Linked DNA regions of Macaca mulatta. The protein of the gene in region 5 binds, or shares a complex with, the protein of the main gene of each other region. Links are inferred from orthologs where the notes say so. Each region holds a gene or a part of one and is shown on either strand. Other genes may lie near its edges. The genes, in order: MED21, MED13, MED7, MED23, MED26, MED18 and MED1.

Region 1 (4,807 bases), on a different chromosome or scaffold from region 5:
ATTTATTTTACCCTGATAAAAACATTTGAGCTTACTCCACCACTGTCTTCAAGGTAAATCTCCAACTCAGGCTGTTTTGAAGCTTTCAACAATCTAAGTCAACTCTACTGACTTGTTTTCCACTACTCCTTCATATTTACCTAACTAGTCATAAAGTCACTTATGACTAAATGGCTTTGCCCAGGTTTTAATAATAGTAATGGAGCAGTAAGTGCTCAGACGCTATACAAACGTAGATCCCAGCTCTATTAACCCAGGTAGCATTTTTCATTTTTAAATTGGATACATTCTCCTATTACAGCATTGTTGTGAGGAAGAGGAAATACACAAAATATTCAACACAGTGTCTATCTGTTCCATCCTTCAAAAACTTTTAGGCCAGGCGCGGTGGCTCAAGCCTGTAATCCCAGCACTTTGGGAGGCCCAGATGGGCGGATCACGAGGTCAGGAGATCGAAACCATCCTGGCTAACACGGTGAAATCCCGTCTCTACTAAAAAATACAAAAAACTAGCCGGGCGAGGTGGCGGGCGTCTGTAGTCCCAGCTACTGGGGAGGCTGAGGCAGGAGAATGGCTGAGGCAGGCGAGTGGCGTAAACTCGGGAGGCGGAGCTTGCAGTGAGCTGAGATCCGGCCACTGCACTCCAGCCTGGGCGACACAGAGAGACTCCGTCTCAAAAAAAAAAAAAAAAAAACTTTTAAGATCCATTTAGTCAACAAAACTTTATGGAAAATAACTATGACAAGTACTACATTTAAACACTATAGAGACATAGTGAATGCGACATAGCTTCTGCACTCATGGTTTTCAGAGGGTAGAACAAATGTTAAAAGTTATACAAATCTGATTAGGATAAATGCTAAGAAGATTCCCTCTATTTTGGTTCACATCACTCCATATTCCAATTTACTTCAGAACCTAAAGCTGAAAATACTCAATTCATTATAACTCCCTAACCACATACTGTTTTTCCATCACTTAAATGTCTCCTGAGTATATGACATTTTTTTAACCTCCTTAAGGAGTATCTCTTTGCAAACATGATAGTGCTTATACACAGTAGGCACTCATACTAGTTATCCTAAAGGCTTTTCTCCAAAATCCAATTATCAGCATGCCTAACCTGGAGTTAAGGCCATATTCACTCTGTCCTTACTATCCTTCTAGTTACAAGACATGTATGAATATGCAAAAGTTTCCCTAAAATAAGATTTCTATCCAGCAGCATCATTACAATTTGATTTTGTAAAATCTCAAAGGAGTAGTTCCCTGAGGAAGGCTGACTGGCAGCTCAGGCAAGTCCCTGCAGGGCAGAATTTATCTTGGTGAATTCAACATTTAGAAGCTGGTCCTCTCAGCCTTAAAAACTAGTGTTATTCACCCAGGGTAGATCAGTTTATCACAAGTAGATTCACACTCTTCAAGTGTACAAAGCCTGATGTATTAAGAAAAATGCCAAGTTATTAGCTTACAGTGAGGAAAAAAAACTGGCAAAGAAACCAGGTACTTAGGTTTTCCTCTCAGCATGTTTTCTCTCTAGCCCCTCATCTAGGACGTTAAATCACAATCAGACAATGAGAAACATAACTATCAATGGAAAACTATTTAACAGAAAACTATGTAACTGGTAATGGTAATAAGTATACCCATTGCAGCAAGAGAATACCCACTGACGTCTTGGTCAACGGGATGCATATATTATGTCGGTCCCCTATGGTTATAACAACGCTGAAAAATTCTTACTGCCTAGTGACATCATAGCGGTCTGTGCTTGTGGTGACGCTGCTGTAAAGCAACCTACGGCACTGCCAGTGTATGAAAGTCTAGCACATACAATTAAGTACAGTCCATGATACTTGATAATGATACTAAATGACTTTGTTACTGGTTTATGTATTTACTGTTTCCTCGTTATTATACATTGTACTTCTACTTATTAAAAAAAAAAGTTATCGCCGAAACCATGCATTTCTCAGAACATAACCCCTTCATTAAGGGCCCATGACTGTATGCGCATCCTCTGGCTTTGCTTCTGCTTTCCACTCAGGCATAGCTTGGAGGAAAAATTACCAGAAGGAACAAAGCTGGGGAGCTACCTACAAGACTTGGCCTTTAATAGAGCGTAGAATTTGGGGGAGACGTTAAAAAAGACTTGTAAGCCGGGCACGGTGGCTCACACCTGTAATCCCAGCACTCTGGCAGGCCGAGGCGGGAGAATCGCTTGAGGCCGGGAGTTCGAGACCAGCCTGGGCAACATGGTGAAACCCCGTCTCTACTAAAAATAGAAAAATCAGCCGGGCGTGGTGGAGGGCGCCTGTAATCCCAGCTACTTGTTTGGCGGAGGCGGAGGGTGCAGTGAGCCGAGATGGCACCACTGTACTCCAGCCTGGGCGACAGACACAGTCTCCAAAGTAAAAAAAAAAAAAAAAAAAAAGGAAAGAAAAGAAAAAAGAAAGACTCAAATAAACGGAAAGACATACGAGAATCAGAAGATTTCCTATCATAAAGATGTCCCCAAACTGATGCATTCTGAGGGGTGGCCAAGAGACAAGAGATGGAAGGAGGCTCTGGGCCCACAGGAAGGAGCGAAGATGAAAGAAAATCTCTCACCTCAGCGTCGCTCCGCACCAACCTGAAAGCGCTGGTGAAGGAATACTCTCGGCTGGCATTTCATTACAAAAACCCAGTCATCCACAGCACGAGATCTCCCTTGGTGGATTCAAATTGATGAGGAAAGAAAAGAGCTCCTGCTTCTCCTCCCAACCCCCAAAAGAGATCCCGTAAGCACCGCTGCCAAGAAAATAAAACTGTCCTCAGGGAATACGACAGGACCGCGCAGCCGACAAGTCTTGGCGGCCCCACCCGGACAAGAGCAATCTTCCCGGTCTCCTCAAGCGAAAGAGGCTGCTCCCTCCCGCACCTTCAAGCACCGCCCGGCAGCCGGCCTCACACCTCCGAGTTCGCGGTGGCGCCTCCCGAGAGAGCGCTTTATGCCGAAGCCCTGTTTCTCAGTCCGCTTTCCACTTCCAAGTTTTGCCTCTTGGGCCCCTTTTCTCCCTTGCTTTACCTCAGGAAAGAGAAAGACAGAGGCTAATCGAATGAAATTCCTCACCGAATTCACAGCGTCTTGAAGCTGCGTGAGCCGATCCGCCATGTTCTTCCTGCAGCAAACAGACGCCAAAACAGCTGCTCTTCCGCGACTGGGCAGCTCTGGTACGCGTCATGGCCAATCCCAGCGCTGCCTTCTTGGAAGGGGTGGGGTCGGAGAGAACTCCCCGCCCCGTCAGGAGTGGGTGGTACTGCCGAGGCGGCCTTAGAGCGGGCTACACCAGAGGAGAGGCTGGATCTTTTGAGTAACTGGGGAGCGGCCTGGGGTCCATCGCTTTGAGGGGCTGAAATACTCTCTTTGAGGTTGTTAGGTGTTAAAGGCTTCAGAGATTGTTGGATTCAGCGGGGATTTTTTTTTTTTTAGTGATTTCTCCTATCCTCTCATGTGTTTACTTATTGACTACATTGAAGAGTAGATATATTTATTTATTTTGAGACGGAGTCTGGCTCTGTCGCCTAGGCTGGAGTGCAGTGGCGCGATCTTGGCTCACTGCCAGCTCCGTCTCCCGGGTTCACGCCATTGTCCTGCCTCAGCCTCCCGAGTAGCTGGGACTTTAGGCGCCGCCACCACGCCCGGCTAAATTTTTTTTTTTTTTTTTTTTTTTTTTTTTTTTGTAGTAGAGACGGGGTTTCACCATGTTAGCCAGGATGGTCTCCGTCTCCTGACCTCGTGATCCGCCCTCCTTGGCCTCCCAAAGTGCTGTGATTACAGGCATGAGCCACCGCGCCCGGCCAAGAAAAATCAGCTGCACAATTTAGATTTAGAGTTGGGACTTATTGAGAGATTAAGTGTGAAGAGTGATAATAGAAACTTGGTATTTAAGGAAATTTAGCCTGAGGATAGTCTGGTAAGAAATGAGTTTGGAGTCGGCAAATAACAGGTTTGGAGACATCAAACAAACTCTCATATCCTCTTTCTCAGGTTGATTATCCGTGATTACCTTCCTGCGGCTGCGGGGTAGGTGGTGGACACAGTCCCCGGGGAACTCAGCTTGCTGGATTTATCCCAACCCTTGCTGGGAAGCACCACTTCTGCTTCACACCCATGCCCCACCCTCATCCCCAAACAGTCTACAGACTTACTGGGGCCTCATTAAGAACGTGGATGAGGCATGCTCCCCATAATGGAACTAATGAGAAATCACTCCATAATTTGTTCTAACTGTAACTTGGGGGAATCTACAACCTTTTCCTCCCACCTTCACTTGAGCGTGTACCTTACTGAATGCCTGCCACATGCCAGGAAGTATATCCAGTGCTCAGTGTGCAAAGATGAATAAGCCAAGGACTCACCAAGAGGAAGGTTTTGCAGTTGTCCAAGATTAAGGTGAGCTGGGCCTAGAATAGGGTGTTGGTTGACCCTGATAAGAGAGGAAAAAAAGACTAAAATATATTTTTGAGAAAAATAATTAATACGGATTGGTGACTGATTGAATACAGTTTAGTCCACTCCGTAAGGATACTAAGTTTTGCAGCGTGATTGAAGGGAACTTGGGCACTTGAAGTAGAGAAGTCACTTCAAGACAACTCATATTGTGACACAGTTTTTGTCCTGCCACTATCTTCCTAGTAGGTCTTCCGTGCCTCCACAGAGACCTCAGGTTGATGTCCAACTATCTCTGCCTAGTTGTCAAGATTTACTATAATCTGGCTCCAGCAAACAGACCCAGCCTCACCTCTTGATAATTTTCTGAGTGAA
Region 2 (4,077 bases), on a different chromosome or scaffold from region 5:
TATCTGTACTATCATTATTACTCAACCCTGCATTACATGCCCGTCTTTTTCTTTTTGAGACAGAGTCTCACTCTGTCAAATAGGCTGGAGTGTAGTGGTACAATCATGGTTCACTGAATCCTCCACCTCCTAGGTTTAAGCTATACTCCCACCTCAGCCTCCCAAGTAGCTGAGACTACAGGTGCATGCTACCACACCCAGCTAACTTTTGTATTTTTAGTAGAGATGGGTCTGCCATGTTCACCAGGCTGGTCTTGAACTCCTGGGCTTTTAAATTAAAAAAAAATTCCTTTCTATAGGATCACTCCCAATGCACCTTTAACAAAATAATAATAAACCTCTGTTTTAACCCTATTATGCAATTTCTCTGCTATTTACAGCAAAAGTCCCCAGAAAATTGTCTAAGTTTGCTTCTCATCCTGTTCTTTTGTGAACCCACTCTAATCAGGTTGATTGAAACTGTCTATCAAGGTGACCACCAACTTCTATGTGGTCACGTCCAATAGGCTGTCTCAGTTTTCACCTTAATGTATCATAGTATTTGATAGAGATGATCACTCTCTTCTAAATATTCCCGGGCCGGGCACAGTGGCTCACGCCTATAATCCCAGCACTTTGGGAGGCTGAGGCGGGTGGATTGCCTGAGCTCAGGAGTTCGAGACCAGCCTGGGCAACACAGTGAAACCTCGTCTCTACTAAAATACAAAAAATTAACCAGGTGTGGTGGCGGGCACCTGTAGTCCCAGCCACTCAGGAGGCTGAGGCAGGAGAATTGCTTGAACCCGGGAGGTGGAGGTTGCAGTGAGCCGAGATCGCGCCACTGCACTCCAGGCTGGTGACAGAGCGAGACTCTGTCTCAAAACAAACAAACAAAAATTCCCTAATCTTGATTTCTAGGATACCATGCTCTCTTGGTTTTCCTCCAACCTCCTTCTCAATTTTCTTTCCTGGCGCTTCTTCTCCCTCCCCACCTCTAAATGTCAGCTCCATCCTTGTACTACTCTATCTACAATTACTCTATAGGTTATTTCATCCAGATCCACAGCTTTTCATGATGATAACTCACACACAAAATTTTTCAATCTCCGGACCCAATCATTCCTCTGAATTTAAAACATATTATCTCCAAATGTGTATCTGATTTACTCCCGTGTTTCCCTCCTCTGTAGTTAGTACCACCATTCACCCAGTTGCTCAAGCTATTATTGATGCCTCATCTTTTCTTACATGTCTATCGGCAAACCCTGTAGGTTCTATTTCCCAAATATACCTAAAACCTATTACTTACATCTTGCTTGCCTCCTATCTTGTCTAAGCTACCATCATCTTTCACCTAAGCTTCTGAAACTGCCTTCCAACTGATTTATCCTGCTTCTATTCTCACTTTCACTACTGCCAACCCCCAAGGCTATTTTCCACACAATAGCAACAGAGAGTCTTGCTCTGTTGCCCAGGCTGGAGTGCAGTGGCGTTATCTCAGCTCACCACAACCTCCGCCTCCCAGGTTAAAGCAACTCCTCTCCTCGGCCACCTGAGCAGCTGGGATCACAGGCACGCCCCACCACACTGGCTATTTTTTGGATTTTTAGTAGAGATGGGGTTTCACCATATTGGGCAGGCTGGTCTCAAACTCCTAACCTCATGATCTGCCCACTTCAGTCTCCCAAAGTGCTGGGATAAGAGGCATGAGCCACTGCGCCCGGCCATCTTTTTTTTTTTTTAGATGGGAGTTTCACTCTTGCTGCCCAGGCTGGAGTGCAATAGTGCAATCTTGGCTCACTGCAACTTCCGCCTCCCAGGTTCAAGTAATTCTCCTGCCTCAGCCTCCCAAGTAGCTGGGATTACACGTGCCCGCCACCAAGCCCAGCTAATTTTATATTTTCAGTAAAGATAGGATTTTACTATGTTGGTCAGGCTGGTCTCGAACTCCTGACCTCAGGTGATCCGCCTACCTCGGCCTCCCAAAGTGCTGGGATTACAGGCATGAGCCACCGTGCCAGGCTGAGAGATCTCTTAAAAAACAATCAGAATAAGGATCATGTTACTCCCCTTGTCAAAACTGTTCAATAGGTTCCCATCACATTTAGTGCAAACCACAAAGGCCTTACATGGTCTATAAGACTCTAAATGATGCTGGTGAATGGCTACCTCTTAAATTTCATCTCCTTCCAGTCTCCCTATCACCCAAAGCATTCCAGCAACATCAGTCACCTTAATGTTCCTCAAACACGTAAAAACAAAATACTCCCTCAGGGTGTTTGCGCTGCCTGAAACACTCTTCCCTCATTTAACTACATAGCTCATATTCTACTTTATGTAGGAGTTTGCCCAAATGCTATCTCCTCAGTATCTTATCTGACCATACATCTAAAATAGTACATACATGTCTTTTTCTACTCTTTTACTCTGCTTTTTCTCCAAATTACTTCTATTATAAGCTTTTTTGTTTATTTCCTATTTTCTCCACTAAATTATAGATTCAAAAAGGGCAAAGAATATGTGTGCTTTGTTCAACAGTGAACCTAGGATAACACCTGGCACATACAAGGTGCCCAGTAAATACTTAACGAGTGAAAGAATGTTGAATAAAGCAGACCATTAGCAATGTTATGCTAATATACGCAATGTGCCTTTCATATTCCTACGTAAGTATATAATTACAGATTTATAATAACCATACTTTTATTGGTGACATTAAATTAAACCGCTAAGAAATTCACCCTTTAAAAACATCATCCTTAAAAGAGTTTTAAGTCCAACTTTAAATGTCTTTATTTGCTATATGGGTAATTGCCTTTATTACTTTTTCCTAAGAATGAAAAGCCAAGTCATACAACTAAAGTGAAATAAGCAAACAAAACAGTATTTTATTAGCATACTTACCATTTCTTTTGGACCAGGGGTGTAAGCATGAACTTTTCACAAGTGCTTCATCAACTTTTCCTCCTGACATATTATCCATGAATTGACGCCCATGTTCTAATGCAAGGTAGCAGTCATTGCAACAGTCACGCTCTTCAACACGTACCCAATTGCTAATTACACCACTTTTAGGAAAAGGATCTTGGTCTGCTGCTCCAAAGGGTGAAAATAAATTAGTGCACTGATCCTGTAGCAATAATATCAAATCATCAGATAGTTTTTCAGATTCCTTTAGTCCTCCATTAACATGTTCAGCAGAGGTACCCCTGAGAGCTTCAAAACGTTTTTCTGCTTCTTTGCCACAGTCTGTATTGCGTCCTATGATATCTAGTTCATCTTCAAGAAATAATCCTGAACTGTTTCCAAATTTTCTGTTCATGATAGCACTGAAGCCACAGGTACACCTATATTGTGCTTCCTGCGTTGGATCTGGAATGTAAACTCCAACATCGGCACCCTTGATATTCATGTTGCAGACACAGATGCAACAACTATCAAAGTTACAGTCTTTAAACAAATTCATAACTGATTCTGAAAGGATGAGGTTTACATAAAGACTGTGTGCTTCAGGGATGGAAGGGACAGTTGCAGGTTCAACAGAATTAAGGGGTCTGCATGTAGATGGGGTAGAAGCTGGTGAATACAAGTCTGAATTTTCGTATTTGACTGAACCTTGAGCACTAGCAGGTCCACCAGCTCCACGAGGAGTTCGAGGAGTCCTTGGAGTCCTTGGAGTTGGAAACCGAGGGGTGGATGGAGAAGGAAGAATTCCTGCTCCGCTGTTACTAGGAGGTGCACTGCTAGGAGGCATCCCAAAAGAAGTATGAGTTTGAGGTGTATAAGCAGGGCCATATTCTTGATCCATATTACTTCCATCACTATCATCACCAGGGTAAAAGAAAATCAAATACATATATAAAGGAACATATTAGTAACATGAAATACAACTAAAAACGTCCCAAATGTTTTTCAATTACATAGAAAATTACGAAAGGACAAGTATTGCAAGAATTACAAGTACAGTCAATTTTTATTTCTGGTTAACATATCTACTCTAAGTGATTGTGGACTAAGGATCAATCAACAAGTTCAAATATCATTAATAAGTACTGTATACACTAATGCGCACCAAGACATCCATATTTACTATCTATA
Region 3 (4,644 bases), on a different chromosome or scaffold from region 5:
GTAGTTTCGGTGGGGTATGGGAGAAAGGAGAAAAAGGTGATTCCTTAGATTGAACATTTGCAATTGAGTAAAGTGCAACGGGGTAAAGATGTCTGTCACCACTGGATATGAGGGTCTGAAGTGCAGAGGAAACGGTGTTCCAGGGCCTGCATGTATCTGGGTGATATCTGACTGAGAAGTGGTTGGAGAACTGAGTCCTGGGGCAATCCAAATAATCAAATGTGCCAAATGCTGCTGACAGAGGGAGTAAAACGAGGACTGGGAACAAGCATTGGAAGTCACGGGTGCAGGACATATTGGGGTCAGCAGTGAGGATGAATTTCTTCAGGAAATAAATTTATATGTGCGGGGGAATTAAAATGGGGGAGGCCGGGCTACGTGGTTCACGCCCGTAATTCCAGCACTTTGGGTGGCCAAGGCGGGCGGATCACTGTAGGTCAGGAGCTCGAGACCAGCCTCACCAACATGGTGAAACCCTGTCTCTACTAAAAATACAAAAAAAGGAAAAAAAAAAAAAAAATTAGCCGGGTGTGGTGGCACATGCCTGTAATCCCAGCTACTTGGGAGGCTGAGGCACGCGAATCGCTTGAACCCCGGAGACAGAGGTTGCAGCGAGCCGAAATCGCGCCACTGCACTCCAGCCTGGGCGAAAGACACTCCGTCTCAAAGAAAATAAATAAATAAATAAAACAAAATAAACCAACAAAAAACCCTGCATATCTATATTTTCGAATTTTTATGTAAGATGTCTTCATTGTATGGGTTCAATTAAAAAAGAAAAGACAAAAGGAATGGAACTACCAGCTGCGACTGTCAGCAGAAGAGTTGTAATGCGGGCAGCGGGTGGAACACACGAACAACCTTTGCTAGGTTTTCTTTGGGAGGTTATTTTCACGTCATAAATGTCTAAATTCATGGAAGTCTTACAAGAGCATGTTACATATTAAAATATAAGATTTTTTTTTTTTTTTTTGAGACGGAGTCTCGCTCTATTGCCCAGGCTGGAGTGCAGTGGCCGGATCTCAGCTCACTGCAAGCTCCGCCTCCCGGGTTCACGCCATTCTCCGGCCTCAGCCTCCCAAGTAGCTGGGACTACAGGCGCTCGCCACCTCGCCCGGCTAGTTTTTTGTATTTTTTTTTTAGTAGAGACGGGGTTTCACCGTGTTAGCCAGGATGGTCTCGATCTCCTGACCTCGTGATCCGCCCATCTCGGCCTCCCAAAGTGCTGGGATTACAGGCTTGAGCCACCGCGCCCGGCAAAATATAAGATTTTTTCTAGTCAATAAGGGGTCTATAAAAAATAAAGCAATAAGATGTCTTGTTTAATTTTATGCCTTAAAGAAACGAAGAAACAACCCTCACCTACTACTTTTAAAAGTCAGTGAAAGGGGTGGCGATGGCAGGAGTCGAATATACGCAGGCGCAATAGCGAGCGATCGGTCTGAGGCGGATCTAGAATCTCGTTAAAGGACAGCTCCTACAGCCAATCAAAGACAGAGTCGGTGGCTTCTTCCAGGAGGAGACCGGAAATTGGTTTCGGCTGCAGAGGGGGAAGGCGGCTACCAGTGTAAAGCCAGAGTTGAGGTGAGTGGGCGGCAACGGCTTGGGGCTCCCGCGTGTGTGCGTTTTTTTCTTCCGGACCCCGCGGTTTCCTCTGTGCTGGGCTGGGAACTGGGGAGGCATGGAGGAGTTCGGCCTCCGAAGACGCTCTCTCGTCTTTCTGTCCCGAGTCTCTCCGAGAGCGCGGCCTCCCCGCCGCTCGTGGAGGTCTCGGGATGGACAGCCTGGAGGAGGGGGCTCTTAGCGCTGCAGTCCCAGGGCTTCCTCCGTGTGGGGACGCCGAGCCGGAGTGGAGGTTGGGAGACGTGGTGTCTAGTCCCCTCGCCGCTGTTTTTCTAGGCTGTGTCGCCTTGGGCGAGTTATTTGCCCTTTCTGGCCCTTTGTAACATGAGAGTAGCCCTCCCTGCCCTTCCTTCTTCTGGGAGCAGTTGTGAAACAGCTGAGATACGGGGGCAGGCGAGGGCAGTAGATCCCAACCAAGCCTAATCGTCAGGTCCATCTGGAGAGGTTTTTAAAGCGACATACCAGGGCCCATTCACAGTGGACAGAATGAATCAAATCTCTGGGGCTGGGACCCTGGAATATCTGTCGTCTTCTGGTGAGGCGCCTTCTCCCCCAGAACAAACACTAGATGTTGGATCTTGAGTCTAAGAACCAGTTATGATGCTTGGCTCTGGTTTTATTAAAATAAGACTTCCATCGCCTTTGAAAAGTTCCATCTAGAGAGACAGTAGAGAAAAATATAATTTTTGTAATATGCAAGTTCTAATTGTACAATTAGATGCTTCACGGCTTAGAGATATAAGAGAGCTTGCCCTTTGGAGCTAAAGGGACCTGGGATAAGAATTCCTGTTGTACCATTTATTAACTTTTTGATCTGGGGCAACACTTCCCCTCATTGAGACTTGGGATCTTCACCTCTAAAATGAAATTGATAATAGAACTTAATTCATGGGACTCTGTGGTGGCTCACGCCTATAATCCCAGCACTTTGGGAGGCCGAGGTGGGCGGATCACTTGAGGTCGGGAGTTCCAGACCAGCCTGGCCAACATGGTGAAAACCTGTCTTTACCGAGAAATAAAAAATTAGCTGGGCGTGGTGGCACACACTTGTAGTCCCTAGCTACTCAGGAGGGTCATGCAGGTGAATCCCTTGAACCCGGGAGGCAGAGGTTGCGGTGAGCCCTGATCATACCACTGCCCTCCAGCGTGGGAGACAGATTGAGACCTTGTCTCAAAAAACAAAACAAACAACCTTAATTCATAGAATTGTTATGAAGATTATGTTAGAGAGGCCATAAAACAACAGTATCTGTCACGTAGTTGCCTTAGGAAAATGACAACCTAAGTACAGGAATGCACATCGTGTAGGAAAGTACAGAGCAGCACTCCTCACCTAAAAAGGTTTGAGTGGAATGAAACGTAAGGTGTCAAAAACTGTGTTTTGAAGTACCAGATCAATGTTAATTCCTTGATTTTGGTAATTGTGCTGTGGGTAGAAGAAAACATTCTTGTCCTGGGAAAACACATTGAAGTATTCAGGGGTGAAGGAATGAGAAACCAATAAAGCAAATGAAGGAAAATGTTAACATTTGGAGAATCTGAGTGAAGAATATGAAGTGTTCTTTGTATATTCATGCACTTTTTCTGTAATCTGAATTTATGTTATAAGTTTTAAAATGTTGGCTGGGAGTGGTGGCTCACACCTGTAGTCCCAGCACTTTGGGAGGCCAAGGCAGGAGGATTGCTTGACCTCAGGAGTTCAAAACCAGCCGGAGTAACATGGCAAAACTCTGTCTCTACAAAATATACAAAAATTAGCTGGGCGTGGTGACATTTGCCTCGTACTCCCAGCTGCTTGGGAGGTTGAGGTGGGAGGATGGCTTGAGCCTGGGAGGTCGAGGCTGCATCATCCTATGCACTACTGTGGCATGGTGGAAACTCAGGGCTGCACCACGCCTGCCCTTAGTACCTCACGAATTCTAAGTATAATATTGCTTCTAATAGAATACTTGCCCCACCTGATGTTAGAGGGTGTTATATCTTGAAACTTTGATAATACCAGTGTAAAGGAGCACTTCAGAATCTTCTCATTGGATGGTATATCTAGGCTTAAGGTAGAGTAAGTAGAGGTTATTATGGCCATAGAAGATACTGGGTTTGAACCTGGGGTTTGAAATTTCTGTGATAGTTGTAGGGAAGTTAATGTGTCCATACAGGCCGGGCGCGGTGGCTCACACCTGTAATCCCAGCACTTTGGGAGGCCAGGGTGGGCGGATCACCTGAGGTGGGGAATTAAGAGACCAATTTGGCCAACATGGCGAAATCCTGTCTCTACTAAAAATACAAAAATTAGCCGGGCATGGTGGTGTGCGCCTGTAATCCCAGCTACTTGGGAGGCTGAGGCAGGAGAATTGCTTGAGCCCAGGAGGCGGAGGTTGCAGTGAGCTGAGATCGCACCACTGCACTCCAGCCTGGGCATCAGAGCAAGACTCCGTCTCAAAAAAAAAAAAAAAAAAAAAAAAGTTAATGTGTCCATATAAAATTGCATAGTTTACTGTGACAAAAAGGATATGGAACTGAATCATTTCATTCAGGAACTTTGGATAATACCATGTCTTTAGGATTTAGCAGTGTTAATTTTGTCAGTGTTTATGAGAGATACAAGTAAGTGTTTGCTATTGGAAATCAATCTGTAACATAAAGCAAAAGTGATTCTGATATGAGATTGGGAGACAACGTGTAGTTTGGTTATGGAGGAGTAGAGAAATGGGGGCATAAATGGTGAAGGGTGTGGAATCCAGAAGATTTTCTTGTTTTTTTTTTGAGACAGATTTTCGCTCTGTCGCCCAGGCTGGAATGCAGTGGTACAGTCTCGGCTCACTGCAAGCTCCGCCTCCTGGGTTCACACCATTCTCCTGTCTCAGCCTCCTGAGTAACTGGGACTACAGGCACCCGCCACCATGCCCGGCTAATTTTTTTTGTCTTTTAGTAGAGACAGAGTTTCACCCTGTTAGCTAGGATGGTCTCGATCTCCTGACCCTGTGATCCGCCTGCCTCGGCCTCCCAAAGTGCTGGGATTAC
Region 4 (4,077 bases), on a different chromosome or scaffold from region 5:
TTGGCCCCCACTCTCTTCTGGCTTGTAGAGTTTCTGCTGAGAGATCTGCTGTTAGTCTGATGGGCTTCCCTTTGTGGGTAACCCGACCTTTCTCTCTGGCTGCCCTTAAGATTTTTTCCTTCATTTCAACTTTGGTGAATCTGGCAATTATGTGTCTTGGAGTTGCTCTTCTCAAGGAGTATCTTTGTGGTGTTCTCTGTATTTCCTGGATGTGAATGTTGGCCTGCCCTACTAGGTTGGGGAAGTTCTCCTGGATGATATCCTGCAGAGTGTTTTCCAACTTGGTTCCATTTTCCCCCTCACTTTCAGGCACCCCAATCAGACGTAGATTTGGTCTTTTTACATAATCCCATACTTCTTGCAGGCTTTGTTCATTTCTTTTTCTTCTTTTTTCTTTTGGTTTCTCTTCTTGCTTCATTTCATTCATTTGATCCTCAATCACTGATACTCTTTCTTCCAGTTGATCGAGTCGGTTACTGAAGCTTGTGCATTTGTCACGTATTTCTCGTGTCATGGTTTTCATCTCTTTCATTTCGTTTATGACCTTCTCTGCATTAATTACTCTAGCTATCAATTCTTCCACTTTTTTTTCAAGATTTTTAGTTTCTTTGCGCTGGGTACGTAATTCCTCCTTTAGCTCTGAGAAGTTTGATGGACTGAAGCCTTCTTCTCTCATCTCGTCAAAGTCATTCTCCGTCCAGCTTTGATCCATTGCTGGCGATGAGCTGCGCTCCTTTGCCGGGGGAGATGCGCTCTTATTTTTCGAATTTCCAGCTTTTCTGCCCTGCTTTTTCCCCATCTTTGTGGTTTTATCTGCCTCTGGTCTTTGATGATGGTGACGTACTGATGGGGTTTTGGTGTAGGTGTCCTTCCTGTTTGATAGTTTTCCTTCTAACAGTCAGGACCCTCAGCTGTAGGTCTGTCGGAGATTGCTTGAGGTCCACTCCAGACGCTGTTTGCCTGGGTATCAGCAGCAGAGGCTGCAGAAGATAGAATATTGCTGAACAGGAAGTGTACCTGTCTGATTCTTGCTTTGGAAGCTTCCTCTCAGGGGTGTACTCCACCCTGTGAGGTGTGGGGTGTCAGACTGCCCCTAGTGGGGGATGTCTCCCAGTTAGGCTACTCGGGGTCAGGGACCCACTTGAGCAGGCAGTCTGTCCCTTCTCAGATCTCAACCTCCGTGTTGGGAGATCCACTGCTCTCTTCAAAGCTGTCAGACAGAGTCGTTTGCGTCTGCAGAGGTTTCTGCTGCTTTTCTTACTTGTTTTTTAAATAGCAACGTAATATTCCATTGTATGGCTGTACCTTCCTCCATTTAACCAATCTTCTACTGACTCTTAAGTTTCTTCTTAACTTTTTCTCATTTAACCAGTGCTGTGATGAATAATATTATGCCTGAAAAATAGGATAAATTCCTAGAAATAGTATTGCTGAGTCAAAAGCGTTACTGGTTTGTAAGTTTTATAGAAATTATTAAATTTTCCACAAGGGTTATACTAGTTTATACTTCCACCAGCAGTGTTTGAGAGTATCTTTTTATTATAACCTCACAATAGAGTGTTACGCTTTTTGATCTTTGCTGATCAAAAACATGAGAAATTTTATCTCAGTATAATTTTATTTTCATTTCTCAGTGATGTTGAACATCTTTCCAAAATTTTTTTAAAAAATTCATTAAACACTTTATAAATTATGATGTGGCCCTCTAATGGAGAAACCAGGAAGAAAATAGGTATTTCCAAATCATTGTTATATGTGCCACAATAGAAGTATGAGAACAGTGGTCATGGAGAGAAGCAGAACATTATAGGCTCTTTTTGGAGATATCCTAGAAGATAAACTTTGATACAGCACAACATTTGACATCATATTTAAAGTTTTGCAAGTCTAGAAATGTGACATGTCATTAGATTCATAATGGGCTCTTCTTTAGGCTCTTAGGGATTAGATTCACACCTAATTCTCATAAGGCTGATACATACTGATCCATAATGAATTTTACTCCCAGTGACAGTAATATTTATATATGCCATAAAGGGCAATGTTTACAATGCCTTACAATGATCTGTGTTAAGAGTTTTCTATAGACCATTGATATGTTAGTTAATTAATACTTTTGAAGGTCCCATGTAATAAAAAGGTAGCATTTTATCTATATAATTGCAAAATTTTAAGCTTAATGTGACAAATACTAAATCTGAACATTTTAATTTTCCTTTTTTAAAAAATTATTTTCATCCACAGATGCTCAGAGTGAAGTATTTCATTCATAGTATTGGTATACTTCCAGTTGTAGTATTAGCTATTTCTTATAAAAATGTAACTTTAGACCCCAAATAAAATCATTCTCTAATTTTCCAGGAGTCTCATGAACAGTGTATCCAGTGGATTGTTAAATTTATTCATGGTCAGCATAGTCCTAAAAGAATTTCTTTTCTTTATGACTGCTTAGCAATGGCAGTTGAGACTGGTCTCCTTCCACCCAGGTACGTTTAATGGGTATGAGCAATCTGACGAATTTTCTTTTCTATATGTGATTGGAAATTGGTTGAGGTTGTTGTTGTGAAAAGATAAGAGAATGAAGAAGAAAGTGAGGTTCATCAAGTAATCCTTTATATAATACCTCAGGTTTTAGTTTTTAGGAGTCATAATCTTTGAATTATATAATGCTTGTGGGCTCAAAATCAGATGTTTCTGCCCAGGTGCTGAGATTATTCTCTTTGATTAGTTTGTAACACTTTACTTTTGCTGCATAACCTCAACACCTCATGGCTTAAAACAATAATACTCAGGTTTTAAAATTATTCATGGTTTTGGTGGTTGACTGGGCTTAAGAGGCACTTTTTCCTCAAGGTCTTAATGATTAATGATCGATGTAGCTGGGGCTGGAGCATGGCAAAAGCTTCCCCACTCAGATATCTGGTGGTTAGTTCCTGGCTGTCATCTGGAACCTCAGCTGAGATTATTAGCCAGAACCTCCACAGGCCCTCGCCTTGTGGCCTGAACTTTCTCACCTCATGGTGGAGCCTAACAGCAAGTGTGCAAAAGAGGGCTAGACAGAAATTGTGTCACCTTGTCTTAGAAGTCATACTGCATCCTTTCGGCCATAGTCTTAGGTCTGCCCACATCTAAGGAGTGAGAACATAGACTTTCCCCCTACTTCTCCTTGGGAGAAATGTCAGTGTCACATTTCAGAAGAAGATGTGGGATCAAAAATCTTGTTGCCACCCTCTTGGAAAAATCCAGTGTACCACAAGGTGATAGATGGTAAACATGTAACTGCAAGCTCCAGATACACTTCTTTCTAGTAAAATATAACGTAGTGAATATTATTTCATTCTTACTTTGTTTTTGATCTTTCATACAAGTAAAGAATGTAAAATGCTATACATATTTATAAGTGTACTTAGTAATAATGCACTTTTATGAAAGATATTTGAGAGGATAAATATAATACAGTCCATAGACTATGGCTATATTAGTCTGTCTCGTGCTGCTAACAGAGACATACCTGAGACTGGGTAATTTATAAAGGAAAGAAGTTTAATTGACTCACAGTTCGGCATGGCTAGGGAGGCCTCAGGAAACTTAGAATCGTGGCAAAAGGCACCTCATCACACAGGGCGGCGGGAGAGAGAATGAGTGCCCAACGAAGGGGGAATCCCCATGTGAAACCGTTAGATCTTGTGAGAACTAACTCACTATCATGAGAACAGGATCGGGGAAACTGTCCCCCATGATTTAAGTGGTTTTACTCATGACACATGGAGATTATGGGAACTACAATTCAAGATGAGATTTGTGTGAGTACACAGCCAAACCATATCGGTGGCTATTAGAGAACTTGGAAAATTCTGTCTTATAACTGGAATGGCTGTTTCTTTTTTTATAGGCTGGTTTGTGAATCCCTGATAACCTCTGACACTCTTGAGTGGGAAAGAACACAGCTTTGGGCCTTAACATTTAAACTGGTTCGGAAAATAATTGGGGGAGTGGATTACAAGGTATATTTTTCTCATTATAAAAAGTGATTGTTTTCAGATATGATTGATTTTTCAGTGTGCATATCCTACTTTC
Region 5 (4,826 bases):
GACCGAGACCTGACTTCTGAGCCCTAGAGCCTGAGATGATAAATGTGTGCTGTGTAAGATGCTGAGTTTACAATCACGTGTTATGGAAACTCATGCCACGCAGTCTTGGCAAGGATGTGGCCTGGTGGGAATGGAATGGAGCAGCCTCCCTGGGGGCGAGGTGACCACCCTGCATGGATGTGAAGCCCCGGCTCACCCGCGGCTGTCTGTGCATTAGCCCAGAGTCAAGTCTGTCACTGCCGTCAGTTGCAGCCTTGTTTTGTAATGGCGAACAGAAAGTGCCTAAGTGTCCCACAACATTCAAGTCGGGCCTTCCCCACTCTGGAAGGGATGGTGAGCCAAATGAGGGGCTCTGTTTGAGGCTGGACATTGCTGATGTTAAGTCAGAAAAGGCAAGAACCACGGTCAGTTTGGTTTTGAAATATGTGACAAGTGTAGATGTATACGCCTGCATACACAAGGGATATTTTTGGAAAAAAATGCAAGGTAATGCTACAGTGGCTGGGTCAGAGATGCCCATTTCCTTGTGTGCCCTTTTACGCTGTTTTAATTTGTATCATGTGCCTGCTTAACTCCTTTATCATGTTGGGGTGGGGGTGGGGGGGAGTTGTGTAATCTACTCACTGTGGTTTCCTCAGGGCCCCTGGGTTCCCGCCTGCCAGCCAGCCCACCAGAAACCTGTAGCTGCTGGAGGTGGCGGTTGAGCGGTAGGAATTCTTGTTGTAACAATTAAAGGAGTTAGTAATGTGTGGGAAGTGCTTAGAACAAGGTGTGGCTCCTAGCAAGATCCTAAAAGGGTGGGATTACTCGGTCATAGGATGTGTTCATGTTTCACTCTGCCAGACAAAGTCCAGCCGTTCCCAAAGTCGGCTGTACCCCCAGAAGTACCTAGTATTGTCAGTGGGGTGCGTGTATCATATATCCATTTGTGGGTTCAGTTTGAGTTTTCCTAATTATTGATAAAGCTGAGAAGCTGAGCATTAGCGCTGACATTTCATTGCACAGTGCCTGTTCCTGTCTTGTAGCCACTGTGCGCTGGGTTCCTGGTCAGCTGCACTGCTGCACAGGCATTCTCTGTGTGTTCCAGATACAGCTCCTTGGGGCTTGTGGTCTATGCCTTCTCCCACTTTGTGACTTTCTGCTCTCTTTATGGTGTCTTTGGATTCAAATCGACTGGTTTATTATGTATTGAATTTTTTTTTTTTTTAACGGAGTCTCGCTCTGTCACCCAGGCTGGAGTGCAGTGGCGTGGTCTTGGCTCACTGCAACCTCTGCCTCCCGGGTTCAAGCAGTTCTCATGCCTCAGCCTCCCGAGTAGCTGGGACTACAGGCGCATGCCAGCACACCCAGCTAATTTTTTTATTTTTAGTACAGATGGGGTTTCACTGTGTTCGCCAGGCTGGTCTCAAAACTCCTGATCTCGTGATCCGCCCTCATCGGCCTCCCAAAGTGCTGGGATTACAGGCGTGAGCCACCCGCGCCCAGCCTATGTATTGATCTTTTAAGCTTTGTGGATTTTATTCGATGAATTCTTCAGTGTCTCCTCTCCCACTCCCATCAGATGGCAGAGTAGAGGTCATTTTAAGTATCAGGAGCAGCTCTTGTTTCACAAGCATCCTGGGTTTCAGCAGGTGGGTGGATATGTACCATGTACACTGGAGGGTTTGGAGCAGACCGCACACCACACACTGGAGGAGGTCGGACAGCGGGTGAGGATGAGCACTGGGCGCCAGGTTGGCCTGGGGAGCAGGTAGGAGACTACATGGAGTGGGGGCTTCAGTGCTGCCAGCTCCTCTTGCTCTGGGGTTGGGGAGAGACTGGAGCAGGCTGGGGTAGGGTGTCCCTGCCTCCCAGGGGAGAAGGGCAGGAACCTGACAAATGGCTTTTTCTTTATTTCCACAGATCCGGAACATGGTGGCGGTGCTGGAAGTCATCTCCAGCCTGGAGAAATACCCCATTACCAAAGAGGCACTTGAGGTGAGTATCCCAGACCCCAGCATTTGGGAGTGCAGAATGGGGGACAGGGGACGGCACCAACCCAGTTCCTTCCCCAGCTTCTAGGAGCGTGTGTCTTTGCTTCAGAGGACCAAGAGAGGCGGTGTGCCCTCACAGCTTGTGCCCCGTGATCTTGCTCTCCTGTGGCCACTGCAGTGACCAAGTGGCATTAATCCCATCCTACCTGCCCAGCACACTTCATGGGCACGTGGGCACGTGGGGACATGGGGACATCAGGAGAGGTGTGCTTGGGGGAGGCTCCAATGAGAGGCGCCGTCCCCAACCCTCCACTTGAAGCAGACCCTCTGTGCTGCCGCCTTGGCCACAGCACCCTCTCATCCAGAAAGCCTCCCTGGCAGTGTCCTTACAGTGGCCTTGACAGCCCCCTGGCACCAGGAGCCTGCGGGACAGCACTGCTGAGAAGCCACCTGGGACTCTGAAGGTCTGGGGACTAGGTTTGAGAATTTATATTGTCACAAAGGACCGGAAATCCCCAGGAGTTTTGTGCCAGGGAGGCTGGCAGTTTAGGGCTCAGTGGGAACCAGGTCATTTCATTGTCAGGGCCATTTCCCACCATTTCTGGCTCAGCTCATGGGGAAGTCCCTGTCCCGAAAGTATGTCATCATCTCTCTTTCTGGTTGTAGGAAACACGACTTGGGAAGCTCATCAACGACGTCCGCAAGAAAACCAAGAACGAGGAGCTCGCCAAGCGGGCCAAGAAGCTGCTGCGGAGCTGGCAGAAGCTCATCGAGCCAGCGCACCAGCATGAGGCAGCGCTGCGGGGGCTGGCGGGGGCCACTGGCTCTGCCAACGGGGGTGCACACAACTGCCGGCCGGAGGTGGGGGCGGCTGGCCCGCCCAGGAGCATCCATGACCTGAAGAGCCGCAATGACCTCCAGAGGCTGCCCGGGCAGCGGCTGGACAGGCTGGGCAGCCGCAAGCGCAGGGGTGACCAGCGTGACCTCGGCCACCCAGGGCCACCACCTAAGGTCTCCAAAGCTAGCCACGACCCCCTGGTCCCCAACTCATCCCCCCTCCCTACCAATGGCATCAGTGGGAGTCCAGAGAGCTTCCCTGGCTCCCTGGATGGCAGTGGGCATGCAGGCCCAGAGGGCGGCCGCCTGGAGCGTGGCGAGAACGACAAGCACAGTGGCAAGATCCCCATCAACGCTGTGCGGCCGCACACCAGCTCCCCAGGCCTGGGCAAGCCCCCTGGACCCTGCTTGCAGCCAAAGGCTTCGGTGCTGCAGCAGTTGGACAGGGTGGATGAGACTCCGGGGCCTCCCCACCCCAAGGGGCCCCCTCGCTGCTCTTTCAGTCCTCGGAACTCACGGCATGAGGGCTCCTTTGCCCGGCAGCAGAGCTTGTATGCACCCAAGGGCTCCGTGCCCAGCCCCTCACCGCGGCCCCAGGCGCTCGATGCCACACAGGTGCCGTCACCGCTTCCACTGGCACAGCCGTCCACACCCCCTGTACGGCGGCTTGAGCTGCTGCCCAGTGCGGAAAGCCCAGTGCGCTGGCTTGAGCAGCCGGAAAGCCACCAGCGGCTGGCGGGGCCGGGCTGCAAGGCAGGGCTGTCCCCAGCCGAGCCCCTCCTGTCCCGGGCGGGCTTCTCCCCAGACTCCTCCAAGGCGGACAGTGACGCTGCCTCCTCAGGGGGCTCGGACAGTAAAAAGAAGAAGAGGTACCGGCCTCGAGATTACACGGTTAACTTGGACGGGCAGGTGGCTGAGGCGGGCGTCAAGCCTGTCCGGTTAAAAGAGCGGAAGCTCACCTTTGACCCCATGACAAGACAGATCAAACCTCTGACCCAGAAAGAGCCAGTGCGGGCAGACAGCCCTGTGCACATGGAGCAGCAGTCCAGGACAGAGCTGGACAAGCAGGAGGCCAAGGCCAGCCTCCAGAGCCCCTTTGAACAGACGAACTGGAAGGAGCTGTCACGCAACGAGATCATCCAGTCCTACCTGAGCCGGCAGAGCAGCCTGCTCTCATCGTCGGGCGCGCAGACCCCGGGGGCTCACCACTTCATGTCTGAGTACCTGAAGCAGGAGGAGAGCACCCGGCAAGGGGCCAGGCAGCTGCACGTGCTGGTGCCTCAAAGCCCGCCCACAGACCTCCCCGGGCTGACCCGGGATATCACACAGGACGATCTCGACAGAATCCAGGCCAGCCAGTGGCCGGGGGTGAACGGGTGTCAGGACACACAGGGTAACTGGTATGACTGGACGCAGTGCATATCACTTGATCCGCACGGCGATGACGGGCGCTTGAACATTCTGCCTTATGTCTGTTTGGACTGACCGGCCCGTCAGCCACGAAGTGCATTCCCATCTTGCAGAAGCCGGGCGGGCGGGCAGGCAGGTGGGTGGGTGGCCGGGGCCCAGCTGCCTCCTGCACTGGGAACTCGGGGAGTCCGGCCCGGGCAGGAGGGAGGGGGCGGGAGTCACGCGGTCTCTCTGCACTCTTCCCTCAAAACTCTCCTTTTGTGAAATGCTGCTACCAGTTTACTAACAAAATTGCGAAGGAAGGACCGCGTGGAAGGAAGGACGGCAAAGTGAGTTCAGAACTCTATAGCAAACCAGCTATAAAAAGCGTTAGTCCCTCACCCCTGAAGAGGTGCGGACACTTTCCAGCACCTGAAAGCTGGGACCTCAGTTGCAGGCAGGCACAGAAAACCTGTGGAGAGGTTACCTTTAACACAGCAACAGAAGCACGCATCTCATCTCTCTTGCATTTTCTGTTCTTTAATTTGGCCCTGAGTGTCTGTGAGACAGTGGGCCATGCTGCCTCTGTTTGCTCCCTACCCAGCCACTGTCAGGTCAGTGTTGTCC
Region 6 (4,676 bases), on a different chromosome or scaffold from region 5:
CATTATCTTCAGGAGTGACCTTCCTGCCAGACCCCTTCCCCTATTCTCTATGCTTAGGATGTTCTTCCGATCTGCATGTCTACTCTATCACTTTTATCAGGTCTGCTCAAGTGACTTTATCATCAGGGCCTTTTCTGATCACCCTAATAAAATAGTATGTGTCCTACCAATCTCTAGCCACTTTCCTGCTTTATTTTTATGGCATAGATTTGTTGTTGTTGTTGTTGTTGTTTAGATAGGGTCTCACTCTGTCTCCAGGCTATAGAGCAGTGGCGAGATTATAACTCTTTGCAGCCCCCATCTTGGGGGTTCAAGTGATCCTCCCACCTCAGCCTCCCAAGTAGTTCGGACTACAGGTACATACCACCATGCCCAGCTAAGTTTTCTTTATTTTTAGTAGAGGTGAGTTCTTGCTATGTTGTCCAGACTGATCCTGAATTCCTGAACTCAAGCAATACTGCAGCCTTAGCCTCCCAAACGACTGGAATTACAGTCATAAGCCTGTAATAGCTGGCTTGACATACATTATTTTTTAGTCATCTTTCTCCCTCCATGGCTATGGCTCAAATGTTTGGAACATATTCAGATACTTGTTGACAAAATCTGGCCTGGCGCAGTGGCTCACGCCTGTAATCCCAGCACTTTGGGAGACCAAGGCAGGTGGATCACCTGAGGTCAGGAGTTCAAGACCAGCCTGGCCAACGTGGAGAAACCCCGTCTCTACTAAAAATACAAACATTAGCTAGCCATGGTGGTTCACGCCTGTAACCCCGCTACTTAGGAGGCTGAGGCAGGAGAATTGCTTGAACCTGGGAGGTGGAGGCTGCAGTAAGCTGAGATTGCACCACTGTGCTCCATCCTGGGCAACAGAGTGAGAATCCATCTTAAAAAAAAAAAAAATCAGAGAAACAGGACCTAGAAAGATAGCTGCTGAGGGTTTGGCATAGAGGGGAGTGGGAATTAGTGTTTAAGGGGTAAAGAGTTGCAGTTTTATAGGATGATAAACAAGCATTTTAGGCTGGGCGTGGCGGCTCATCCCTGTAATCCTAGCACTTTGGGAGGCCAAGGCAAGTGTATCACTTGAAGGCAAGAGTTCAAGATCAGTTTGGCCAACATAATGAAACTGCAACTCTCTACTAAAAATACAAAAACTAGCCGGGCATGGTGATGCACGCCTGCAATCCCAGCTATTCGGGGGGCTGAAATACAAGAATCCACTGAACCGGGAAGTGGAGGTTGCATGAGCTGTTATCATGCCACTGCATTGCAGCCTGGGTGACCGATCGAGACTCTGTCTCAAAGAAAAAAACAGTTGTACTAAGTATTTTTTCAAGCTACTCACAATAAACCAAAGTTCTAAAGATCTGTTGTTCAGCAATGTTAATATACTTAACAATACTGAACAGTACACTTAAATATGTTAAGGTTTTTTTTTTTTTTGAGACAGAGTCTCGTTCTGTCGCCCAGGCTGGAGTGCAGTGTCGCGATCTCGGCTCACTGCAATCTCCGCCTCCCAGGCTTGCACCATTGTCCTGCCTCAGCCTCCCAAGTAGCTGGGACTACAGGCACCCGCCACCACGCCGGACTAATTTCTTTCTGTATTTTTAGTAGAGACGGGGTTTCACCGTGTTAGCCAGGATGGTCTCAATCTCCTGACCTCGTGATCCACCCGCCTCGGCTTCCCAAAGTGCTCGGATTACACGCGTGAGTCACTGCACCCAGCCAAGATGGCAGATTTAATATGTTTAGTGCATGTAAAACTGTAATTTAAAGTAACAGTTAAAAACATAGTTGGGTGCCAGAAACTGTGCAGGCTGCTTTTGTGTTGTCTCTCATCTTAAGGGAAGCTGAACAGAGAAGAGGAAAACAGGTAATCCAAGTTCCCTGGTTCACTTACCCTGCAATAGGTACTCCATCATGTTAATGGTGCCCCCAGTGACAGGCATCATGGTGACTGGAGGTGCCTCCATGGTGTCTAAGTTGAAGACAACACAACTGGACTCAGAGCCCCCAGTCAGGTAAGGCACGGGATATACCTGGAAAAGAGTTCACTTGTTTATACATCAGAGTAGTCGAGAGAGACCAAATCTGTTGTGGCACTGGCCTTCAAATCAAAAGATTCATTCATTTAAAAACATTTCAGTGTCTTACATGGCCAGTTCCAGGAACTGATGATACAGAAATATAAAAAGGAGATCTGGTCATGGAGTTACAGCATTGCCTTCTAGTCTCAAGTTCTGAAACCTCCAAGTTACCTGTGCAATCTTGAGAAAGTCCTGTCTATAACCCCTCACCCTGGGACTCAGTATCTTCCTCATAAAATGAGACCAGCAATTTTTTTTTTTTTTTTTTGAGACAGAGTTTCACTCTTGTCGCTCAGGCTGGAGTGCAATGGTGCAATCTCTGTTCACTGCAGCCTCCGCCTCCCAGGTTCAAGCGATTCTCCTGCCTCAGCTTCCCGAGTAGCTGGGATTACAGGCACCCACAACCATACCCGGCTAATTTTTTTTTACATTTTTAGTAGAGACAGAGTTTTGTCATGTTGGCCAGGTTGGCCTTGAACTCCTGGCCTCAGATGATCCTCAGGTGAGTCGGCCTCCCAAAGTGCTGGCATTATAGGCGTGAGCCACCACGCCCGGCCAAAGGCCAATGATTTTTAACTCCCAAGGTTATGTGGCTCAAACGAGATAATAAAGAGGCAACAAAATTCAGAAGAACTGAAAAGTGTCTTAAGGGACCTTCATTTTTATAGATGAGGACATTGAGACTCAGAGAGGGACAGGATACACACAGCAACTTGGTAGCAGAGTTGGGACCAAACTAGAATCTAGGCATTCCATCGCTCTGAAAATGCCTTTCCCCCATACCCTTTTCTTTTTTGGTGACAGGATCTCGCTCTGTAGCCCAGGATGGAGTGCAGTGGGGGAGTTCCTAGTTCACTATAACCTCGAACTCCTGGGCTCAAGCGATCCTCCCACCTCAGCCTCCCGAGTAGCTGGGACTACAGGAGGGAGAGTCACTGCGGCTAGCCTAAAAATGCCTTTTAAAGAGAGCCAAGGCCAGGCGCGGTTTCTCACACCTGTAATCCCAGCACTTTGGGAGGCCGAGGCCGGCGGATCAACCGGAGGTTGGGAGTTCGAGACCAGCCTGACCAACATTAAGAAACTCCGTCTCTACTAAAAATACAAAAAATTAGCTAGGCCTGGTGGCGAGCGCCTGCAATCCCAGCTACTCGGGAGGCTGACGCAGCAGAATCGCTTGAACCCGGAAGGCGAGGTTGTGGTGAGCTCAGATCGCGCCGTTGCACTCCAGCCTGTGCAACAAGAGCGAAACTCCGTCTCAAAAAAAAAGAGAGAGCCAAGAGGAAGTTATTTTAAAATGATGGTATATAGGTCCTTCTAAGCCAGCATCCACAACACGTGTCCACTTAAACACTAGAAGCACACCTCCTTGAGGCTCTAGTGTCTTCTCGAGAAGTCGGGAATTATATGCACCCGCGCACCTAGGAGCCTTTGAGCGACGATTAGATCCCAGTCCTCCGGTTACCGGAGCCCGGGAAGCCCCCAGACCGGTGGAACCAGCCAACTTCCTGCTCTTCTCACTTCCGGTCGGAAGCCGAAGTCTCACAAACCTCGAAACTGCCGTTCCCAAACGTATGGGTGCCGAGAAGGCCGAAGAGCGTCATTGCGGACAGACAATCAGAAGCGCATGCGCAAAATGCCGGGCTGCTGTAAGAAAGATGGCGGCCTCCTTTGGAGCTTTCCTCCGGGGTCTACCTGGCGCCTTGACGTCACAGGCCATCCTCTAGGAAAATATTTTTAGGTTTGACAACCTGGAGATGTATTTGTGCAGAAAGTCTCTTGGAACTGATAGGACTTACAGAGACTATAATGGGCTTAAAAAGAAAAATGAACTGAGGGCGCGGTGGCTCACGCCTGTAACCCCAGCACTTTGGGAGGCCGAGGCAGGTGGATCACTTGAGATCACGAGTTTGAGACCAGCCTGGCCAAGATGGTAAAACCCCGTCTCTATTAAAAATACAAAAATTAGCCGGACATGGTGGCACGCGCCTGTAATCGCAGTTACTAGGGAAGCTGAGGTGGGCGAATCGCTTGAACGTGGGAGGCAGAAGTTGCAGCGAACCGAGATCGCCCACTGCACTGTAGCCTGGGATACAGAGAGAGGCTCTGTCTCAAATAAATAAATAAATAAATAATAAATAAAAATTTAAAAGTCCGGAAAAGGAGTAGGTCCAGATCCAGGAGTACTCTGCAGTGCCAGACTAAAAGAACACGTGTGAGCTTTAAAAGAACCCTGGTTGCAACATGGAGAAAAGTTTGGGAAAGGAGAGAGCCTAGAGAAAAATGACCAGGCGGGACATGGTGGCTCAGGCCTGTAATCCCAGCACTTTGGGAGGCCAAGGCGGGCAGATAGCTTGAGCTCAGGAATTAAGACCAGCCTGAACAACATGGTGAAACCCTGTCTCTACAAAAAATACAAAAATTAACTGAACGTAGTGGCTTGTACCTGCAGTCCCAGCTACTTGGGAGGCTGAGGTGGGAGGATTGCTTGAGCCCAGGAGGCAGAGGTTGTGGTGAGCTGAGGTAGTGCCACTGCACTCCAGCCTGTGCAACAGAGGGAGATCCTGTCTGGAAAAAAATTAAAGAAAAAAGACC
Region 7 (3,099 bases), on a different chromosome or scaffold from region 5:
TGACTCAAATGGACAACTACCCCAAAGTTGAACAACCTTCATGCAAATGCATCAAGGAATGTATTGCTTTTTCATTTTCTGCCCAGCCCTTCATATACATGCACTAAAATGAGTTTAAAACATGGCCTAAAAATGGAAAAAGGGAGAAGAAAATATATATGAATATTTCCCACAAAACTGTTTCCCCCCCTTCCCTCTCCCTACACCCCTCCCACCCCCCTCCCTTTCTTAAGCAAGTATTTTAACTTTTTCTTTCTGGCACAGGAACAAAGACTTCTTGGTAACCAGAATCAAACACTGTGGTTTCTTTAATAGGGTCTGGATATGCCTTTCTAATTCACCCAGCTCGATGTCAAAGCCATGCCATTTAGGATTCTTAACCAAATCAGACCTGTCTGACTCACCCCTTATGGTGGTTTGCCTATAAACTTATCAATAGTTTCTTTTCTCTGGCCCTGTTTCTTTTAGGAAATAAGGTTCCTAATTCCCAATCAGGGCCACATCCATAAGATCATCATCTTCCTCCCCAATCATAAAGTCTGGGCTGAGCCTTGAGGGTCTATCTGCAGATAAGATTGTGTTACTTGTCATAGACAAGGACTGGTCTGAAGAGATGGGTGATTTGGACCAACTCTCTGGCTTGATGCTATGAGATTTTTTCTTGTCTCGGTCTTTGTCCCGGTCTCGGTCCCTATCTTTGTCTTTTACTTTCTTCTTTTCCTTTTTGTGCTTCTTATGTTTCTCTGTGCTGTATTCAGGAAGTGGTCGGATACCATCATCTGAGCTGGGACTATTCTGATAAGATTTCTCTGCTATGGAGGAGCCTGACTCACTTTCACTGTCCAGATTCTGGGGGGTATATGCTGGTGACTTACTATGGCTAGGAGAGCCACGCTCATGCTTTGGAGTGGAACCACTGATGAGTGGAGAGCCATAGTTTTTAGAAGAAGCCATCTGAGGCCTAAGCCCTTCTCCACTACTTTCCCCAGGTTTCTGCAAAGTCACTTTGGCTTTAATGCTGGGGGAGCCTCCATCATGCTTACTGATGATAATTTTTGCCACACCTGTGCTCCCCACATTTTTTGACTCTGAGGTCTTCTTAGAAGAATCCACTGAACTCCCAGAGGTGGAAACCTTTGATTTGTCTTTATCACTTTTCTCACGCTTGCCCTGAAACTCTCCTCCTGACATGTTATGTTTAGAGGACATAGGATGGCTGGAAGAATTTGTGCTCACCCCCATCTGGCCGTCCAGTGGGTCTTCACCCCCAGGGCCACTGGTGACAACCCCATGCTTCAGTTTATCTATGACAGCTGTCAAGGACGGCTTCTTATTTCTGCTGGGAGATTTTCCTTTGGAACTCCCATGCTGGTTTTGAGAGGATGACATGGAAGAGCCACTTGAGGAAAAGGAGGAGGAAGATGCTGTACAAGAATTAGATGATGGGGGAGTTTTCTGGGACAACGAGCCTGAGGATCCTAACCCTGAAGATGACTTCATGCCAGAGCTTGAACTAGTTCCAGACATATGAGAACCACCAGAACCTGAACTGATAGGGGACTTGGCTTTAGAGGATGGAGGAGTTCCAGGAACAGGCTTCATTGGAGAGGCAAGCTTGTCAGAGCCTCCAGGTGGCCTTGAATGAGAAGGGGATATGTTTGGTTTACTTAAAGAAGGATTCATAAGTGATGATGGCTTTCCTTGAGGTTTCATCTTGGTGCTGCTAGAGCCACTGCTCAGTCCATGCTTGGTAATGGGAGAGGAGCCTGGCTTCCCCCCAGACTGGGATGAATTTTTGGACTGGCTAGATCCAGAAGACCCCTGGCTAGCATACATACTGCTGCTTAACTTGGAACTTGATGAGCCTTCTGATTTACTGCTTTTCATCTTCCCTGAGGTGGAAGCAGAAGATGAGGAAGAAGAGGAAGAATGGCTATGGTGGCTTTTGCTGCCTGAGGAAGACACAGAACCACTGCTGGTATACTGACTGTGAGAGGAAGGCTTGCCCACCATCACTGTTCCCTTAGGAATCTGAATAGTGATTTTGGGAATGGGTGGTGTGGCAACACCTGGGGGAGTCTGAGATCTTCCTGAACTGCCTGGAGATTTAGATCCACCTGTACTGGTAGGTGGGGTAAAAGGTCGGTTAGAAGAACTATGAGATGGAGACTTTCCCTCAGTGTCTGCTTTCTTCCTCTTTGGAGGCTTATCTTTGCTTTTCCCATCATTAGAAGGGGTCCGACTGCGTTTCCCTGGTTTGCTGTCTAATCCTGGCCCCGCGAGAGTACTATTACTGGTGCCATTGCCTTCCTTTACCCTCTTTTGAGTCTTTTCTTTCCCTAAGTCCCCAGTGGTCATTAAAGGTCCCTGACTACCACTGTGATGCTCCATAAGATCTGCAGGACCTAAAGCTTTGCCGGCTACTGATATAATACTGAAATCAACTGTGTCAGCTTGGTTATTGGCCTTAAACTTGGTCTCCCCATTATCACCTCCAAGCATTGGCACCCCCAAAGTATTTAGTGCCTGAGATGCAAATCCTTTGAAATCATCATTATCCCCACTTTGGCTGCTTTCATCAAAATATTCTTCTCCAAAACCACTTTGGCTCTGGCTGTTCAATAAATCAGGATTGAAATCTACTCCATCATGAAAAAAATGATTGGTAGGAGAGTCACTACTGGGGCTTCCAGCAGCATCTGCAATAAGATCAGCTGGATCAGTGTATGGATTTTCATTATTGTTAGTTTGAAAGACATCAGAGTCAAAGAGGGTACTCTGAGAATGCCCAGAGCTTGAAGAATCTCGAAGAGGGGTGCCAATAGCTGGGCAATCATCACTAGTGCTGGGAAGTTTAGAAGCTTCTTCTGCAATGTCTGAAAGGATGTCAGTTACATCTGGGCCAATGCTGTCTGAACTGGATAGTCGGACCATCCTTTGAATACTGGGTTGGGGGTGAGGTACTGGTTGTGGGTAAGTTGTTGGGGGAGTGCTACACTGGCTTGGAGCTGGAGTGATGTGTGGTGTATCCAGTGTGTCAGCTGTCATGTTGACATCAAAGATAGGGTTCTGTGAGTCAACATCCATTGAAAATAGCTC

Evidence for each region.
Region 1: the proteins of MED26 (region 5) and MED21 are in contact, whole or in part, in a cryo-EM structure (PDB 7EMF), measured with the Homo sapiens proteins. The link is inferred for Macaca mulatta from reciprocal best matches to the Homo sapiens genes MED26 and MED21. Residues at the interface, in NP_004822.2 of Homo sapiens: Ser481, Arg482, Asn483, Glu484, Ile485, Ser488, Tyr489, Ser491, Arg492, Ser495, Leu496, Ser498, Ser499, Ser500, Leu528, His529, Ser535, Pro537, Thr538, Asp539, Leu540, Pro541, Gln549, Asp551, Leu552, Ile555, Gln556, Trp560, Gly562, Val563; in NP_004255.2 of Homo sapiens: Ala2, Asp3, Arg4, Leu5, Gln7, Asp10, Ser14, Gln18, Asn21, Gly24, Val25, Gln28, Cys29, Tyr54, Leu57, Phe58, Leu61, Arg64, Thr65, Lys67, Asp68, Val71, Leu72, Asp74, Ser75, Leu76, Pro77, Ser78, Glu79, Glu80.
Region 2: MED26 (region 5) and MED13 share a complex: the UniProt entries of both Homo sapiens proteins name them as parts of the mediator complex. The link is inferred for Macaca mulatta from reciprocal best matches to the Homo sapiens genes MED26 and MED13.
Region 3: MED26 (region 5) and MED7 share a complex: the UniProt entries of both Homo sapiens proteins name them as parts of the mediator complex. The link is inferred for Macaca mulatta from reciprocal best matches to the Homo sapiens genes MED26 and MED7.
Region 4: MED26 (region 5) and MED23 share a complex: the UniProt entries of both Homo sapiens proteins name them as parts of the mediator complex. The link is inferred for Macaca mulatta from reciprocal best matches to the Homo sapiens genes MED26 and MED23.
Region 6: MED26 (region 5) and MED18 share a complex: the UniProt entries of both Homo sapiens proteins name them as parts of the mediator complex. The link is inferred for Macaca mulatta from reciprocal best matches to the Homo sapiens genes MED26 and MED18.
Region 7: MED26 (region 5) and MED1 share a complex: the UniProt entries of both Homo sapiens proteins name them as parts of the mediator complex. The link is inferred for Macaca mulatta from reciprocal best matches to the Homo sapiens genes MED26 and MED1.

What each region holds. Positions count from the first base shown.
Region 1 is NC_133416.1:29,388,354-29,393,160, reverse strand, and holds the start of MED21 (mediator of RNA polymerase II transcription subunit 21), read right to left. Parts: upstream 3,188-4,807; 5' UTR 3,155-3,187; coding exon 3,113-3,154; intron 1-3,112. UniProt on the Homo sapiens protein: Component of the Mediator complex, a coactivator involved in the regulated transcription of nearly all RNA polymerase II-dependent genes.
Region 2 is NC_133421.1:49,720,148-49,724,224, forward strand, and holds part of MED13 (mediator of RNA polymerase II transcription subunit 13), read right to left. Parts: intron 3,801-4,077; coding exon 2,884-3,800; intron 1,547-2,883; exon of another isoform or gene 1,422-1,546; intron 202-1,421; exon of another isoform or gene 1-201. UniProt on the Homo sapiens protein: Component of the Mediator complex, a coactivator involved in the regulated transcription of nearly all RNA polymerase II-dependent genes.
Region 3 is NC_133411.1:166,007,445-166,012,088, reverse strand, and holds the start of MED7 (mediator of RNA polymerase II transcription subunit 7), read left to right. Parts: upstream 1-1,525; 5' UTR 1,526-1,584; intron 1,585-4,644. UniProt on the Homo sapiens protein: Component of the Mediator complex, a coactivator involved in the regulated transcription of nearly all RNA polymerase II-dependent genes.
Region 4 is NC_133409.1:36,660,444-36,664,520, reverse strand, and holds part of MED23 (mediator of RNA polymerase II transcription subunit 23), read left to right. Parts: intron 1-2,361; coding exon 2,362-2,486; intron 2,487-3,892; coding exon 3,893-4,004; intron 4,005-4,077. UniProt on the Homo sapiens protein: Required for transcriptional activation subsequent to the assembly of the pre-initiation complex. Component of the Mediator complex, a coactivator involved in the regulated transcription of nearly all RNA polymerase II-dependent genes.
Region 5 is NC_133424.1:17,072,402-17,077,227, reverse strand, and holds the start of MED26 (mediator of RNA polymerase II transcription subunit 26), read left to right. Parts: upstream 1-1,566; 5' UTR 1,567-1,648; coding exon 1,649-1,750; intron 1,751-1,902; coding exon 1,903-1,977; intron 1,978-2,639; coding exon 2,640-4,295; 3' UTR 4,296-4,826. UniProt on the Homo sapiens protein: Component of the Mediator complex, a coactivator involved in the regulated transcription of nearly all RNA polymerase II-dependent genes.
Region 6 is NC_133406.1:212,601,219-212,605,894, forward strand, and holds the start of MED18 (mediator of RNA polymerase II transcription subunit 18), read right to left. Parts: upstream 3,257-4,676; 5' UTR 2,319-3,256; coding exon 2,256-2,318; intron 2,037-2,255; coding exon 1,898-2,036; intron 1-1,897. UniProt on the Homo sapiens protein: Component of the Mediator complex, a coactivator involved in the regulated transcription of nearly all RNA polymerase II-dependent genes.
Region 7 is NC_133421.1:63,743,333-63,746,431, forward strand, and holds part of MED1 (mediator of RNA polymerase II transcription subunit 1), read right to left. Parts: coding exon 481-3,099; 3' UTR 1-480. UniProt on the Homo sapiens protein: Component of the Mediator complex, a coactivator involved in the regulated transcription of nearly all RNA polymerase II-dependent genes.